Caenorhabditis elegans: one gene and its partner. The protein of the gene in region 2 interacts with the protein of the main gene of each other region in a pairwise test. Each region holds a gene or a part of one and is shown on either strand. Other genes may lie near its edges.

Region 1 (5,170 bases), on a different chromosome or scaffold from region 2:
AAAAAATGTACTTTTTCCAACTCCACGTGTCCTCCAGATTTAATGATCATCGCATTGTCAACTGGATGAGATTTATCGAGTCTGCACACTTCCTCCATATCCATCTCCAATTTCCCGCCGATTTCACGAGAAGCGGTCAGAAACTGAAAAATTTGTTTTAAATTAAAGGTGCACTCTCACTGCAACTTTTTTTGAACGAGGGACGAGGAAAAGCGGTTTCTAGGCCATGGCCGAGGGGCCGACAAGATTTAGCGGCAATTTATCTTGCTTTGTTTTCCGCGTGTTTTCTTTTATTTTTCACAGATTTTTCCCGTTTTTTTCTTATTAAAACTGATAAGTAAATATTTTTTGCAGATGCTAAAACAATTTACAAGTGAAAAAATTGTGTATTCAGTCGACAAGAAGTGATGAAAGTGGTCAATGTTATATGATGGATTACGGGAATACTAAACCTAAACTTTTTTCCAAACATGATACATATGCTGCATAGATGCTGAAAGTACCTGATTTTCATAACGAGACCGCTGAAAAAGTTTTGAGGTTTTCAAAATTCAACTTTTTGTGCAAAAATTTCTACTTTTTCACCAAAAACGTTGAATTTTGAAAACCTCAAAACTTTTTCAGCGGTCTCGTTATGAAAATCAGGTAGTCTCAGCATTTAAGCAGCATATGTAAGTTTAGGTTTTGTATTCCCGTAATGCATCATATTACAATGCCCACTTTAACCGCTGCTTGCCCACTGAATACATAATTTTTTTACTTGGAAATTGTTTTAGCATCTGCAAAAAATATTTACTTATCATCTGTGAAAAATAAAAGAAAACACGCGGAAAACAAAGCAAGATAAATGGTCGCTGAAACTTGTCGGCCCTCGGCCACGGCCTAGAAACCGCTTTTCCTCGTCCCTCGTTCAAAAAAAGTTGCAGTGCCTCTGTGGGGAAATTGCTTTAAAACATGCCTATGGGGTCACAATCAGGGGTGAGCGGCAATCGGCGATCGGCGATCGCCGATGAAATTTTATAGTCCAAGATAGACCCCTCTGAAGAAGGAAAAAAGGAGTGCTTTTCGTTGCCTAATATTCCTGTTTTTATAAAAAATTATTTGAAAGAGCTCTTAAAATTAGGATTTTAAAATTGAAAAAAATTAGACGCACACTGATCGGCAATCGGCAATCGGCAAGCGGCGATCGCCGATTTTTTTTTGGCAATTTGTGATCGCCGATCGCCGAAAAAAAATTTCCATCGGCGATCGGCGACTTTTTTGGGCGGCTGCTCAGCCCTGGTCACAATGGCCAAATAGCATGATTAAAAAATTCAAAAAAAATTTCTCAATTTTATATGATTTTTTTTTGAAAATTGAAAAAATCTCAGTTTTCCCCCTAATTCCTATTTGAATTACCGCCAATTGAACTCGTTCGATGGAGCGCGCTTGCATTATTTTTATTACTTTAATTTATTTATTAACATTATTTTCACTGATTTTCTTCCCTTTTTTTTGTGTTTTTGATGGGAATTGGAATGAAAAACCAAGATAAATGCAGAATGTTTGTTAAAAATCACTGAAAAAGCGTAAAACTGTACTCATTATTTTACTGTTTTACGTATTTTCAGTGATTTTGCAAACAAACATTCTGCATTTATCTTAGTTTTTCATTCCAATTTCCATCAAAAAAAATACAAAAAAAGTGAAGAAAATCAGTGACATAGTGTGAATAGATGAAATACATTTATAAAAATAATGCAAGCGCGCTCCATCGAACGAGTTCAATTGGCGGAAATTCAAATAGGAATTAGGGGAAAAACTGAGATTTTTTCAATTTTCAAAAAATCATATAAAATCTAGAGAAATTTTTTGAATATTTTAATCATGATATTCGGTCATTGTGACCCCATATGCGTGTTTTAAAGCAATTTCCCCACAGAGTGGAGTACACCTTTAAAGGAGGACTAACGGTTCGGACGATTTTGAACATATAGACCCAAAATGAGCTCAAATGAAGGAATTTCGCAATGAAACTGCTCAAAAATTTTTTATGGCGGTTCAAAATTTTGAAAAAAAATTACACTGATTTTAGCTAAAATCACGAATTTTTCTCTTTTTTTCGTGCCACATCCATCCGAAGTTGTCTTTTTTGGAATTACCGTCCTTTATTACATATATTGGTAGTTTATCTCATTTAATTTCGTCGATTAAAGTACATTTATCGGCGATAGGTAACCAAAAATCATCGAAATTGGTTACCTATCGGCTTTGAATGTACTTTAATCGACGAAATTAAATGAGATAAAATACCAATATATGCAATAAAGTACGATAATTCCAAAAAAAGCTAACTTCGGATGGACGTGACACGGAAAAATGGGAAAAAATCGTGATTTTAGCTAAAATCAGTGTAATTTTATCAAAATTTTGAACCCCCATAAAAAATTTTTGAAAAATTTTTGAGCAGTATCATTACGAAATTCGTTTATTTGAGCTCATTTTGAGTCTATACGTTCAAAATCGTCCGAACCGTTAGTCCTCCTTTAAAGGTGTACTCCACTCTGTGGGGAAATTGCTTTAAAACACGCATATGGGGTCACAATGACCGAATATCATGATTAAAATATTCAAAAAATTTCTCTAGATTTTATATGATTTTTTGAAAATTCGGAAAAAAGCCCGTACCGCGAGCTTATCGGCCTTAAGCAAATAGGCCTTGTGATGAGCATGATCTCCAAGAAAAGCACACGCTCCACACAAAACTCTCTCTTTTCTGTAGAAAAGTGTCGGAGACTTGACGGATTCCTTCTGCTTCAACGCGTAACCGCATCCCGGATAGGTGCACGCGAAGAATTGGCTGTGCGGAGCCACTTGCAAGCACATTGAGCACGTTGCGATGGTATCCGAGTACGCCGAGCACTCTTCAACGGGATTTTCGTCCACACTTTCTTGATAATTTGTGATATCCGGCAGACTCGACGTTTCGCCGTCCGGCATTCGCTCGAAATTCTCGATTGTGTGAGAGTTTCGCACTGAAAATCGTGAATTTCATATTAATTTTATCATTTTTCATCGGAAAAACTTACTCATTGTACAAATTTGATCCGTTAGTTGATCGATTATTTCCTGAAACTACATTTTTCGTGAGATTTTTAGGTAAAAATTGAATAAAAACGCTGAAAATAATTTTTAAAGTCGATTTTATCGGGAAAAAACCAAGAAAAACTCTGAAAATCGGCGGAAAAACAAGAAAAAATGGGAAAATTAATTAATTCGAAAATTTTAAACTTAGCAAGCCGTTCTCTGCGTCTTCACTCTCTCGCGCGTGCCAATGGAGCGCGTTTGCACTATTTTTTTTTTAATTTGAGGGGGTACGTTTTCGTAAGGGGATTTTTTCGTAAGGAACGCTTTCAGTAGGGTAATGTGCGGCGCGCCTTTTCGCAAGCCCGCCGCACAGTCCTTCGCAATGCGCCGCACGGCTTTTTGCAATGCGCCGCACGCTTCTTCGTATTTATTTATTTTTCCAACAGGAAATTTCGAACGGAATTCAATTAAAAACGGATTTTTAATGGAAATTAATTAGTTTTATTCGAGCTAAATACGGATATTTTCAGAATTTTCGATGACAAAAACGGGTTTCAATCGATTTCGAATCGATCAAAATTAATATTAATCGAAAATGAGCGTTTCCTTCCCGGAAAAAGAAGAACTTGATGCTGAGAGTGATCCAGGCGGAGCCAAACGATTAAAATGATAGAAGTGATTTTTTATTCAGTCGAAATGGAAAATAAAACTGCAAACAAAAGTTAATTCGATTAAATTAAGTAAGAAAAATCATGGCGAAATTTGGATAACCTGAGTATGGAAAATTGTTTCTATAATCCAATGGCACAGAGGTAAACAAAGAGATCAGTGATAGCATTTCGGAATTTCCATAAAAGGGAAAAGTTTCTCATTAAAAGCACTGAAACCGGTATAATTCAAAAACACTGAAGTACAGAAATCGGGGTTTTTGTATAATGGCACAGCGGTTGTTCGATTTCCGGATCGTCTCTTCAAGTCTAGGATCAATGATTTTGATAGTTGAATGGTCTTTTGAATCACTCCTCGCAGGTTTTGATAGTCGTTGTGATGATACATTCTCTGGAAAACAAAACAAATCGATGTTATATACCTATTTGAGAACTTAAAAAACTACAAAAAGAAACTTGCCTTCAGCTTGGAAAATTGCTGCTCACTCGGGTTGTTTGTGAACGCTGAAAAATACTTTTCACTCTTCAATTAATCTTTAGACATCAATAATACTTGCCTCTAAAAAAGCGTTTGGCTCCGCTTGGATCACTCTCAGCATCAAGTTCTTCTTTTTTCCGGGAAGGAAACGCTCATTTTCGATTAATATTAATTTTGATCGATTCGAAATCGATTGAAACCCGTTTTTGTCATCGAAAATTCTGAAAATATCCGTATTTAGCTCGAATAAAACTATTTAATTTCCATTAAAAATCCGTTTTTAATTGAATTCCGTTCGAAATTTCCTGTTGGAAAAATAAATAAATAAATACGAAGAAGCGTGCGGCGCATTGCAAAAAGCCGTGCGGCGCATTGCGAAGGACTGTGCGGCGGGCTTGCGAAAAGGCGCGCCGCACATTGCCCTACTGAAAGCGTTCCTTACGAAAAAATCCCCTTACGAAAACGTACCCCCTCTTTAATTTCGCGAAAAATAGTTTTTTGCCGAAAATAGAGTTAATTAGGCTAAAAAGCTGTTTTACAATCAATTTTGTTAAAGAAAAACCGCAAAAAACCTGAAAATTGACGAAAAAAAGCCAAAAAAAAAAAAAATTTTGCTTTTTAGTTCTACGCAGGAAAAGTGCGGCGATGGGTTTAAAACTAGAGAAATATTAGAAATCGTTAAATTTAATAGTAGAAAATTACAAAAAACCTAGATTTTCTGTGGAAAATACACGAAAAACAACGAAAAACTTTGGGAATTAAATTAAAAATTCGAAATCTAGCAAATCGTTCTCTACGTCTCCACTCTCTACCGCGTGGCGATGGAGCGCGTTTGCTTTTTACTGATTTTAATTAATTTTAATTAATTGAATTTCAGCGTATTTTCGCTGAATTTCTAGTGTTTTCCCGATAAAAACAAATCGAAATTCAACGTTTCCACTAATTTCAAGCTTTTTTC
Region 2 (4,524 bases):
ATACGGGGACTCGTTACTTTGAGATGTTTCAAAACATTGGCTTTTGAATAAATAAGTCATATGTGTTTCTATAATTCTTTCAAAATAACAATTAGAATTATGAAACTGTTTTAATATTTTACGAAAAACTTTAAAACAAGACTAAGAACGACAGATTAAGAGTGACCCGTTTCAACCGACGACAACTTTGCCGGTGTCTTCCTTTCCAGCCATTCGTGGCTTTCCCACTGTGAATGGAATGTATCGATATTTGATCATATGCTGGAATACATATTATTTTGAAAAGAATGACGAGTTTAAAAAACATACCATAATCTGTCTCTTGAGAGTGAGGAAGGTAAGGATGAAGAAATACATGACAAGAATTGGCCAGAATACTGGAACATCGAAGAATTCGAAGAAGGTGCAAGTGATTGCGATCAGAGTGGCCTTCATGAAGGAGTGCCTAGAAAAATAATATTTTGAATGACTTTCTCCGTTTCAAGATAATAAAGACTAACCAAAACTTAAACTCTGGCAGACGACGCATGAATGGGCGGAATTCGTCGTTTGTTTTCGATGGAAGAACTGGACCATCATCTTCATCCTGCAGAAAATAATGTTTACTTCATAACAAAATAAAATAACAAACCTCGAACTCTAAAGCTGGATCAATTGATGGAGTTAAAAAGAGCAAGAAGAGATTCAAATAGTAGATACCGACAGCATATGCAACAATGTAGAATCCCTGAAATCAAATTAATTATAACGTGACTTGAAGAAAAAAAAAATAACTCGTTGGTGATGAACTTTTTTTTTTGAAAAATTTTAACATATTTTCTATTTGTGCTCACTTACTTGCAAGAGAATAATTCTAGACGCAAAGAAGACGAGCGAGATCAGAGCGATAACCCATCGGAATGCAGTATGTGGCGTGAGACGATCGAGATAGTATTGATACTTCTGCAACATAATCAATAAAGTCACAATTTGCATTCTGATTAAAATTAACTCACCACTTCCAAACTGTGAAAGAAACGAGATGTTACACCTGGCCTGTCCCGAAGTCCGTCGTCCATATTACCTGATGAAATTGATAATGAACAATTGAAAAATTAATTTTTAAATTAATCAAGAATTAATTGAGAATAAAAACTTCATAGACGTGATGAAAATACGTGAAAAGTTGGGAAATATTGATTTCGATTAAAAAAGAAGTACACGTAGAAATATACGCAAACACGGTGACGGCAGAATGCACACTGTCTCTTCAAAACTTTTAAGGATGAATAAATTCAATTTTCAAGTTTTCTGTTATTTTTTGCTATTTTTTCATCAAAAAATGAAAATATTTTATATAGCAAAATATTCTGAAACTACCTAAATTTATTTCTTTGAATTGTTTTGAGCATTAATGGGAATTTCACAAGATTGATTCAGTTTTGCGAAGTTTTTGTTATCGAAAGTGTTCAAACTGCTATAGGGATATCCTAATGTATTTCTATTTCTATTTATATTCTATCGTGATTACATTTGGAAAATGATAGAAGAGTACCTTATATACCACTATAGTTACCATTGATATTTGAAAAAAAACTTATTTAAGGCATTTAAAAAATTGCAAGCTGGTTGGCTACCGTAATCTTCCTTTTCGAATCGCGAGAATTATTCTTACTTTTCGGTTCTTTCATGATACAATATTAGTAATGTTCCAATATTTTCAGATTAAACCATGATTGACATCGATAGTGTCAGTCTACCAATTCTGATCGGGGGATTAGTTGGCTTTGTCACTGTGATGGGAGTAGCAATAATCTACGTAGCAAAGAAGGAGCAACAAGGAGAACAGGAAGAAGTGTAAGTCATTAAAATAATGAATTGAACGTTTTTTTAATGAAACATTTCAGTGACGTTGTAATGGATGAAGTGACAGAGACGATTATTAGCGAGGAACCAGTGAAGAAGAATAAGCACCAACGAACGAATGATCAATGGAAAGCAAAGGAACCAACATTCGTTCATCCATGGAACGTATCAGTATTGAAAGGACATAAAAAAGAAGTGACAGATGTTGCATTTGCTTCAGATGGCAAAAAGTTTGTATCAATTTCCGGAGATCGTTCGGTTATTCTCTGGGATGTTAGAGACTTTGAGAACAAGGAACACAAATGTATCAGACAAACGGTTGAATATGACACTCCAACTCGTGTAGTATTTGCTCCGGATTGTAAGAGTGTTGTATTTAGTGTGAAAAGAGAAAACAAGGTATACAATGATTGAATTTTGATCAACACATTCATAATTTTTCAGATTTGCGTCTACAAGCTCGTTAAGAAAACCGAAGGATCAGGATCCCATCATTTTGTGCATATTGACAATTTAGAATTTGAAAGAGTTCATCAGGTTGATATTCAAAATATTGGCATTGCCGGAAACGGTAAGTTAACTGCGAAAATTGTTTGGCAATTTATTTTTAATTTTCAGCGAAATACCTGATGAGTGCAGCACTCGATAACAAAATTTGTCTTTACGATCTACGCGGACAACTTCTACAGTCAATTGATGCTAAAGTGAGCAGTCTATATGACTGTCGTCTCTCTCCTGATGGTCGTTTTATCATTGTATCAGGATTCACACCAGATGTATTTGTTTTCGAGCCAATTTTTACAAGAGATGGAACATTCCAGAGTGCCAAGAAAGTGTTCAGTCTCAGTGTAAGCTACATTCATGATTTCCAAAATTTCATCTGAATTATTTTTAGGGTCACCAATCTGGAGTACTTGCTGCTGCTTTCAACAACTCATCGACTCGTGCGGTCACAGTCTCCAGAGACGGAAAATGGCGCATTTTCGACACCGATATTCGCTATGAGGCTGGGCAAGATTCCAAAATTTTGAGAGAGTGAGTTAAAGAAAAGCGAGAAACCGAAATTATATAGCGGGATAAAATGAGAAAATAGAATAGGTGATTGCTAGGCAACGAAAGTGAGTAGACGTCTATAGCGAAAGAGAGGCGAGTTGATGATAAAATTGTGTTCTGTTAAGCACTGCGTCTTATTGAATTCACACTAGAAAGTAACAATTTTTCAGGGGAAGCTGGGCTCCTCTGCATGCCGCCACAAGTGAACACGTGCGATTAGAAATGAGCCCAAGTGGTGACTCATTTGCAGTTTCGTTCAAGACAGATTTGAAGGTGTTCGCTTCGGAAGACGAAACCAAGGACTATCCGGAATGTAAGACAAAATTGATTGGATTTTTCAATATCAAACATTTATTTAAAACTTTTTTCTAAAATATCGGATTTTTTTTCTGTTGAACTTTCTGAACATTGTCAATTTGCTCATTTTCGAAAATTAGTTTAATTTTAGAACAGTTTAATTGTAAATAATCCACGATTCTTGAAAACTGAAACCACATTACAAATTTTCAGTGAAAGACATCTGCTCGACTACAATTTCATCGATTGCCTATTCCTCTGACGGAAAATATATTGCAACATGTGGAGACAAATATGTCCGTGTCATTCGGAATGTTCCAGAGTGGCACAGCAGAGTGGTTAAACTGAACCGAGAGCTTCCAGAAATCACACAGGAAGGTGCTCGTCGCCGTATCAAAGAGCAGATTGATGAGGCTCAGGAACTTCTGAAGCAATTCGAAAAATAATTTATTTTATTCGTGTAAAGTGCCAATAATTCCCTCCTAAAGCGGTGTTATGTTTATTTATTTATTTCTTCGCATCATTTGATTTTATAAATACGTGTACGTAAACTTTATCTAATGGCTTTTCCCACGTTCTCTGTTATAAATCCCGTGAAAATTATATTTTGTTATGTTTGAAACATTTATTTAGGAAATTACTCCTTTCTAAATAGATGAGTCTTCCTCCTCGACCGTACGATAACAGACCCCCAACGGGAGTTAGAGCGAAACCTGTGATCAATCTCAATATAGAATACACTTCCTGCAATGATTCAGTGGCACCTGCATGTAGCACACGTCCGATGCTTATCGAGAACATGATTAACCAGAGAAATGTCAATATAAATGTTCTGGAGGGATACGATCCTAAGTCGAAAAGTGTTATTGTAAGACATTCCATAGTTTAACACGGCAATTCTTCAATAATTCATATTCAGAACCAACATTCGATCTACCATCTCTATGAGTTTGAATCTAAAACAAGATTTCTCGATCGTATTCCACGTCCACGAGTGAGCCGATTCACCGAACTCGTAATTGGATATTTATGTAAAAGAAAAAAAAAACTCATTTTTATTTTGCAGAAAACGAGATTTCTCTGTTGTCGCTATGTCCTTTGTGCAATTGATGATGTGATGCAAAAGCAAAAACCAATGGAATTGATGGCAATTCGTTTGAATGGAGACATTTACATTGGCGCTAATAAATCTATGGATTTGTAATATAACGATTTTAAAATTTACTAAACGATTGTACTCGTTTTAGGCAAACTGACAAGAAGACCCAAGAGGCGGCATTCGGTGGTTTGAATTTCGCCATGAAGGTTACGAGAGAATCCGATCAAAAA

The links.
Region 1: the proteins of F46C5.9 (region 2) and Y48G10A.2 interact in a two-hybrid assay, tested with the Caenorhabditis elegans proteins (one large-scale study listed by BioGRID).

What each region holds. Positions count from the first base shown.
Region 1 is NC_003279.8:13,484,297-13,489,466, forward strand, and holds the start of Y48G10A.2 (E3 ubiquitin-protein ligase UBR7), read right to left. Parts: upstream 3,073-5,170; coding exon 3,069-3,072; intron 3,015-3,068; coding exon 2,668-3,014; intron 144-2,667; coding exon 12-143; intron 1-11.
Region 2 is NC_003280.10:8,807,909-8,812,432, reverse strand, and holds F46C5.9 (WD_REPEATS_REGION domain-containing protein), read left to right. Parts: upstream 1-1,703; 5' UTR 1,704-1,711; coding exon 1,712-1,836; intron 1,837-1,886; coding exon 1,887-2,244; intron 2,245-2,289; coding exon 2,290-2,416; intron 2,417-2,463; coding exon 2,464-2,693; intron 2,694-2,740; coding exon 2,741-2,880; intron 2,881-3,068; coding exon 3,069-3,211; intron 3,212-3,408; coding exon 3,409-3,641; 3' UTR 3,642-3,797; downstream 3,798-4,524. Other genes in the region: rer-1 (Protein RER1 homolog), read right to left, coding at 172-261, 310-445, 501-586, 632-727, 838-942, 996-1,058; F07H5.10 (Decapping nuclease), read left to right, coding at 3,851-4,063, 4,115-4,210, 4,262-4,395, 4,443-4,524.